Linked DNA regions of Cricetulus griseus. The protein of the gene in region 1 purifies or fractionates together with the protein of each later gene. This does not show direct contact. Links are inferred from orthologs where the notes say so. Each region holds a gene or a part of one and is shown in the gene's direction. Other genes may lie near its edges.

Region 1 (3,646 bases):
CATGGGCTGGTGCAACACACATATCACACATGGGTGCATGCTTCTTCACACTGCACACATCTGCCCTGGCAGACAGACGGTGACAAACTCTCCCACCTACCTCAGTGTCACGTGGAGACACACCGCAACACTTGCTGCATGTGCTAATGTGTTAATGTGAGCACACATTAACACCCAGATGCTCCCTGCTCTTACATGGAAGCATTGAACACTCATACATGTGAATACTCACCACCTTTGGGCACACACACACACACACACACACACACTTATGTATCCAGATGCTCCCTGCACCTGTATAAACACGTTCTCATGCATCCAAACCTTACTTTTACATGTGCCTGTTTGTCTACTTATCTTAATCACTGTTCTATTCCTGTAAAGAGACACTATGACCAAGGCTGGTTTTCAAAAAAAAAAAAAAAAAGCATTTAATTGGGGCTTGCTTGCAGCTTCAGAGGTTTAGTTCATCGTCACCTTGGTGGTGGCAGTGGACCTTGGTAGAGCCGTAGCTGAGAGCTTTACCACCTGATCCACAGGCAGAGAGAGACTGGGCCTGTCATGGGCTTTTGAAAGGTCAGAGCCCACCCCCAGTGACACATCTCCAACAAGGTCACACCTCCTAATCCTTCTAATCTTTTCAAACAGTCCCATTGCCTGGTGACTAAGCAATCACATATGTCTGAATGGGGACTATTCAGACCACCAGAGCACTCCTACCATAAAGCACCCCATACACACTGAACTGGTGTGCCCACGTGCACTCCCACCCACATTAAGTGCACACAGATACATGCATTTTCACTATACGACTCTAAATACTCCAAATCCTGTAAGAAGGGTTTGGTATTCTGAGGTTGTGACTTCAGCATGGAGTACTGGCCTGCAGTTTGCCACCTGGGAGCCACCTGGGAGGGCGCATGGAAATAGAGTCCAGGTGGGAACTGGCAGCATGGAATCCTACAGCAAGGCTGGAATGAAGTCCCAGGCTTCCCCTCCCACTCCCTGGGGCCCTTAGAAAGGCATGGACAGTATAGGTAAGATGCACGCATGATCCTCCCCTCTCTATGTCATGTGTCTTAGGTACGATAGAGATACAATGTGAGGTTCCTGTGTGCTTGTTTGTGTGGTCCCCACAGGGTGTATGCAGAGGTCAGAGGACAGCTTTCAGGAGTAGCTTCTCCTGTGGGTTCTGGAGACCAACTCAGGTCATCAGATGTGGTAGCAATTGACTGGCTGCTGAGCCATCTTGCCAACTTCAGCGTAAGAGCCCTCCCTTCCCACATTATCGGTCTTGCTAAGAGAACAGCAGGGAGCCATGACTTTAAAACTGTCTGTGAGGGAAGAGGGAACGCTTGCCCCTCTGAGGAGCCTCTCAGACTACCCCATACTTACAGATGAGAGTAGAGACAGTTAGTGGGGTCCACATCCCTCCCCAGACTCTGCCACGACCCTTCCCTCCATACCTCTCTGCTTAATTGTCAAGATTACACAGGTTCCCCACCCAGGAGGACTCTGAGGTTTGCATTTTGAAAGCAGTGGTTCTTTAAAATAGAACATTTATTAAAAAGTACCCTCTCTCACCCTTATGACACGATTCTTTATATAATGGAATCTGACATTTATAAGAATAATACTGGCAATTAAACCCAGATTAGAACCATTTGCTCCCAGCCTAGTGTGCAAACCTGGCAGGGTTCCTGTGTCCTCCTGGTGAATTCTATGTCTAAGACACAGTGGAGGGTGGAGCAGATGTCATCCCTGCCTTCCTGAACCCCCTGCCCCACCCCCAGCTGTGGCCTCAGGTCTGGGCTCCTGTTATCTCTCTCTTTCTCCCTCTCCCTCCCTCTCTCTTCCTCTTTCATCCCCCCTTTCCCTCTGAGGATGGACACACACACACACACACACACACACACACACACACACACACACACACACACACACACACACACACACGGGTTCAGCCACAGGAGACACAACAGTCCCCTAGACTCCTCCCGCTGTCCCTCGAGCCTAAAAGCTGGCTTTGGGCTTTTCCCCTCTCTCTCTCTGCATATGTGATTTTTACTTGAAAAGGATGGGCAGGGTGGGGAGGCCCACTCTGATTTCTGGAAACTAAGACTGGGCCCTGAGTAAGGGAGCATGGGAGGGGCATGAGGGCAGAGAGGCACTCACAAGAACCCTGGCACTTCCCAGCCTCCCTTGGCACTTAGAGATAGCTGCTAGCAGTCTGAGGGACCACTCTGGTGTGGGATGAGGATTAGAAATTGGTGCCAATCCTTCAAGAGCAGGGAGAGGTTGGTGGTAGCATCCTACTGTCCCGTGCCCTCCCTATGAGGTGATTTTATGCATGGTCTACCACGAGTTGTGTGCACCAGCCCTGAGGAGAGAGTTGCCATCCCAACCTCTGGGGTGCTGTGAAGCCAATGGCAGGAACCCTCAACTCTATTTGAACATTTATGGACCAACAGGGAGGGTGTCACTCTGGACTTGGTGGGCTCAGACCCTCACATGGCTCATAGTCCCAGGGAAGCAGAAATCGGGTGACCAAATCATCGGGTGTCATTATCACCTGACAGAGAGCAGATGCTTGGGGAGAAAGAGGTACCCACAGGAACCCAGCAGGGTCCCATGTCTAGACCTCTGCTGTCCAAGGCTCACAGTGACATCAGAGTGACCAGGAGATGTAGGTGGGAACCCCTCAGGTGAGGGCATTCACAGATGAGGAAGAAAGTGGCTGTGAGTGTCATTGCCAACAACTATCCACCCTGTGGCCCAACACCCAAAAGTTGCTGTCAGTTGGCATGAGAATGGAGGTGAATGCTGCCACTAGTGGCGGCACCCTGGCGTGAGGTCAATGGTGAAGGTGTAGTAGGTAGCTGTGTGGGAAAGCAAGCCAAACAAAAGCCCTGCTGTCTGTCAGGGCAGGCTTCCATTTCCTAACCTCCCTCCCACCCCCAGGTACTTTTACTCCCGAAGAATCGAGGTCACCATGTCTTCTGTTAAGTGCTTGCACAAGCTAGCCTCTGCCTACGGGGCCACACAGCTTCGAGACTATTGCAGCCGGCTGTTCGCCACCCTCCTCCCCGAGGATCCCACTTTCCACACGCCCCTGGAGCTCTATGAGTACGCACAGGCCACCAGGGACTCTGTGCTGGAAGAGCTGTGCGTGCAGTTCCTGGCCTGGAACTTTGAGCCTCTGACACAGGTTGAGGCCTGGCTGAGTGTTCCCACCACCTTGCTCCAGGCTCTCCTCTCCAAGAGTGAGCTGGCTGTGTCTAGTGAGCTGGACTTGCTGAAGGCCGTGGATCAGTGGAGCGCGGAGAGTGGCGCCTCCCATGCTGAGGTGGAGGGCCTGGTGGAACAGGTCCGCTTCCCCATGATGCTGCCCCAGCAGCTGTTTGAGCTGCAGTTCAACCTGTCCTTGTACCAGGGTCACCAGGCACTGTTCCAAAGGAAGACCATGGAGGCCCTGGAGTTCCACACTGTGCCTTTCCCAGTACTGGCCAAGTACAGAGGCCTGAACCTCACGGAGAACACCTACAAGCCCCGGCTTTACACCTCCTCAACCTGGAGCACCTTGGTGACAGACCGTTCCTCAAGGTCACAGGGTGCGCAAGTGTATGGGTACTATTCATATGGCTAT
Region 2 (4,338 bases), on another chromosome or scaffold:
TCAATCCTAGAAAGGGTGCAACACCCTCAGTTGGACCCCACAATGAGGAGGACATTTAACACTGTGATGACAATGGTCCCCACCCCACTGGCCACCCTGTGTGTGTGCCTCAAAGGACAACAGAGAAATCCTGACTGTCTCTGGGACTTCAGCTCACTCAGCTCATGTCCACTGCTGATGAAACCTACTTAGATTACCGTCTGCCCGTCAATTCACCCATAACCAGTCCTGTATTTTGCCTCTGATGCTGGACTCAGCCCTGTGACCTGCTGCTTGGCTCTGAAGCAGCAGCTGTGGCTGCCTTCCAGGCTGCATCTCTAGCAGCTCTCTAGCTGGATTTGTTCTCTGGTTGCAGTAACTTTGCCTTAACCTATTGGCTCTGTCTCTGTAAGGCCTCTGAACTCTTGAATTATGCTGTGGTTTCTTTAACCCCTTTGTAGCCACAGTATAAACTACATATGTATACACATGAAGTGTAATGTGTGACCCAAGAGTTAGTGATTAATATTGAAGTAAAAGAACCTGTGCTTGCTAAAAGCCAGTTGTTCATGTAAATCAGGACTCATTAGCTAATTGTGGCCAAGGAGACCCAGATAGCTTGTTAATTTATTGTTACTCAATAAATTCAGATGTGGAAAGACACAAATATGTTTGTTCATGTTTCTGACACAGGGTACTCAAGACAGGGTGAGTCTATCTGGAAAGAATATTCAGTCTTGGGACAAGACATGTAAGTCACCAGGTGGTGGTGGCGCACGCCTTTAGTCCCAGCACTCGGGAGGCAGAGGCAGGTGGATCTCTGTAAGTTCGAGACCAGACAAGAGTTAGTTCCAAGACAGCCTCCAAAGCCACAGAGAAACCCTGTCTCGAAAAACAAACAAAACAAAACAAAAGACATGGAAGTCACGCCCAATTTTTCCCAAGGGCAGGATATTCTGACCTGACCTAACTTTCCCACCAAGCACTCTGTTCCCAAACAGCACTGGGTATCATCTCACTGTGCTTTTTGCAACTGAAGTTCTCTCCTGTTCTGGAACGTCCTTCCTGGAATGAACGAATGTGATGCAAAGTGGTGCTCTGGAAAGAAGAAAACACAAGGAATCAGCTGAGTGCGACCGCTGTGGAGCTCAGCCTCTGGTTCCTCACGCGTAAAAAGGAGATAATTTTAAGATCCCCCTCCCCCCCCCAGGCTGTTACGTGGATCAAAAGGACATTCCAGTAAGGCTTTTAGCATCACTCCTTGCTCTACTACTGTGATGCTTGCGCGTGCACAGTGACCCGCTCCGCCCCAAGGGAGCCGCCCCTTGACCGCCTCCCCGAGCTCCTGGCGCCCACGGTGGCGTCCGTGCCGCCACGTCGCCTCCCCCACCCTCCCGACACCAAGGTTCCTCAGACGCCGGCGAGTGTTAGGTACCCGGCTCACCGGGCCGCGCCCCACACCGCTACTGCCCTGCGATTGGCTGATGTGGGTGCCCATCTGCAAACACCGCTGACGATTGGGCGGATTCGGCGTAGGGGGCGGGCCTCGCGGAGCATAGGAAGGGCGGGGACCCGGATGTGTGTGGTGGCGGCGGCCGAAGAGCTACAGCGCGGAGCTGAGAGGCCTATGGATGAGGAGGACGCGGCGGCCCCGGTAGGCGGGGATCGGGGGCGGGGTCCCGGAGGCCTCGGTCTCTGCAGAGCTCGAGGCGGGGGTCCTGGAAGACGGCTCCCGGCTCAGGGGCGGGGCCTGGGGTTCTGGTCACTAGTGGTCCTCCCGGCGCGCACCCTCCCCTAGTGCGGGGCCTGTGGAGACCGGGCGTAGCCGCATTGACAGGTGAAGGCCCGCTGGCCCCCGGGTCTCATCTGAGTGACCCGATGGTGCTGAGGCTGCGCGGGGCGGGGGGGAGGCACCCAGCGCCGATGCTGCTGCTGGTCGGTGCTGAGGCTGCTGGGTTCTCGAAGATCAGGTGTCTTCAAGTCTGGGGCTCCAGCTGCTGCCTGGGTTCAAGTCCTGGCCCAGGGCCCAGGAGGGGAATGCTGGTGCAGTGCCACAGTTGTCTTCCTCTGGAGCATGTGGTGGTCTGTAGCTCCTTCAGAAGAGTCCTGGTGTGCGCACTTGAGTCGAACTCAGCTTAGCCTAGGTTTGCTAAGCACCTGCTGTGTGTGTTGAGGGTGGGGTACTGTGCCAGGTGTTTGGGGACTGGGAAGAAGAAAAGATTGCTTCATCGTTTTCCCACTTTTGGCTCTCTGGAAAATTTTATTCAGTCAGTCATTTGCCTTGAGGGTTGTCTAAATGCCAAAGAGTCCCCATTCCATTCCTTTTCTCCTTTTGGTGTCTGCCGTCTCTTGAACTGCTGTCACAATTACACTTGGAAATGAGAGTTAAGATCTGATAAGCTCTTTTTTCTTTTGTTTGAGACAAGGCCTCACTCTATAGCCTTGGCTGGCCCAGCACACACTATGTAGACCAGGCTGTTCTAGAACTCAGAGATCTATTTGCCTCTGCCTGGAATTAAAAGTGCTAGAAATGATTGCCAGGTGCTGGTGGTACATGACTTTAATCCCAGCACTCAGGAGGCAGGGGGTTTCTGCAAGTTGGCAGCCAGCCTGGTCTACAGAGCGTGTTCCAGGACAGCCAGGGCTAACTCAAAAAAAAAAAAAAAAAGTGCTGGTATTATGGGCAGGAGAGATGGCTTGGTGGTTAAGAACACTGGCTTGCTGGGCATGGTGGCACATGCCTTTCCAGGATCTCTGTGAGTTTGAGGCCACTCTGGTCTACAGAGTGAGTTCCAGGACAGCCAGGACTAAATGGAGACACCTTGTCTCAAAAACAAAACAAAACAAACAAAAAGCACTAGCTTTATGCCTGGTTGTAGTGGTGGTGTGTGCCTTTAATCCCAGAATTTGGGAGACAGAGGCAGGTGGATCTCTGAGTTTGAGGTCAGCCTGGTCTACAAAGTTCCAGGACAGGGAGGGCTACAAAGAGAAACCCTGTTTTGAAATCCCCCTCTCCCTCGCCAGAAAAAGCACTGGCTTCTCTCCCAGAGGATCTAGGATTCAATTCCCAGCACCCACATGGTAGCTCACAGCTGTCTGTAACTACAATTCTAGGAGATATGATGCCCTCTTCTGGTCTCTAAAGGCACCAAACATATACAGTATGCGTAGACATACATGCAGGAAAACACCCATACACATAAAAATAATAAAGAAGTTGAAAGCAAAAACAAAATAATAAAGAAGTTTAAAATTTTCCAGGATTAAAAACTAGTAGCACCATACCCAACAAGATTTGATATATTTTAAAATCATACCATTTCTTGCTTAAAATTCCACAGAGGTTTCTCGATACCCTTGAAATAAAATTTAAACTCCTGACTGGATAGTCTCTTGCCTTATCCTATTCTTATTCACCTTCCATATATAACAGCCACTCTGACCTTCTGTCTTTCTCTACCATGACACCTTTCTTCTACCCAAGGACTGTGCCTTGACTGTTCCTCTGCCTGGAATGATTTTTGTTGTACTCTCATGTTGACTGCCTCTGTACAGCCAACATCCTGTGCCTCTAAGACTGTCCTTGTCCACTGTTACATCTGTTTTTTTTTCTTTTTTTTGCTTCCAATGGCTAAAATGTTCATTTGTGCTTATTATCTGCTATGCTTCCTCATGCCTAATGAGACTGGAGACTCTACAAGATCATGAACCCCATCTGTCTTGCTCATAGCTTTGTTCCTAGCTTCGATGACAGTGCATATCTATTGACTGAGTGGCTGAGGCTGGAGTTATTGAGATGCATCTGGACATCTGGAACACTCTGCACATTCAAGATTGAGCAGGCTTGAGGTACTCTGTGCTGAGCTCCACTTCCTTCTCAGTCATTTCTCTTCTCATAGGTTTGTTCTCATGAACAAGATGGATGACCTCAACTTGCACTACCGGTTTCTGAATTGGAGAAGGAGGATTCGGGAGATTCGAGAGGTTCGGGCTTTCCGATATCAGGAGAGGTTCAAACATATTCTTGTGGATGGTGACACTTTGAGGTGAGTGTAGGGAAATGGTTCCACATTGTCCTTGTCCAGTCCTTTCCTGGTATTAACCAGGACACTGTGTATGCTACACTGTGAAGGGACCCCTGGTGGTCTTTATGTCTTTCTTTCTGCCTCTTATCACTGGGTCACTCAGGTTGCCTTATTTATTTATTTATTTATTTATTTATTTATTTATTTATTTGGTGTGTGTCTTGGGGGATGGTTGTTAAAGAACTACTTGAGGAGGTTGGTCTTCTTAGATCAGGTGGGACCTAGCAATCTGACTCTGGTCATTAAGCAAGTGCTTTATACACACTTAGCCATC

What was found. Proteins that work in one complex are often made in the same cells at the same time.
Region 2: the proteins of Lgals3bp (region 1) and Spryd3 purify together in Homo sapiens (co-immunoprecipitation; 3 studies listed by BioGRID and IntAct, counting the BioPlex papers as one, with this or other methods). This does not show direct contact. The link is inferred for Cricetulus griseus from reciprocal best matches to the Homo sapiens genes LGALS3BP and SPRYD3.

What each region holds. Positions count from the first base shown.
Region 1 is NC_048600.1:130,937,498-130,941,143, reverse strand, and holds part of Lgals3bp (galectin-3-binding protein), read left to right. Parts: intron 1-2,961; coding exon 2,962-3,646.
Region 2 is NC_048595.1:398,533,771-398,538,108, reverse strand, and holds the start of Spryd3 (SPRY domain-containing protein 3), read left to right. Parts: upstream 1-1,483; 5' UTR 1,484-1,610; coding exon 1,611-1,633; intron 1,634-1,680; exon of another isoform or gene 1,681-1,816; intron 1,817-3,878; coding exon 3,879-4,025; intron 4,026-4,338.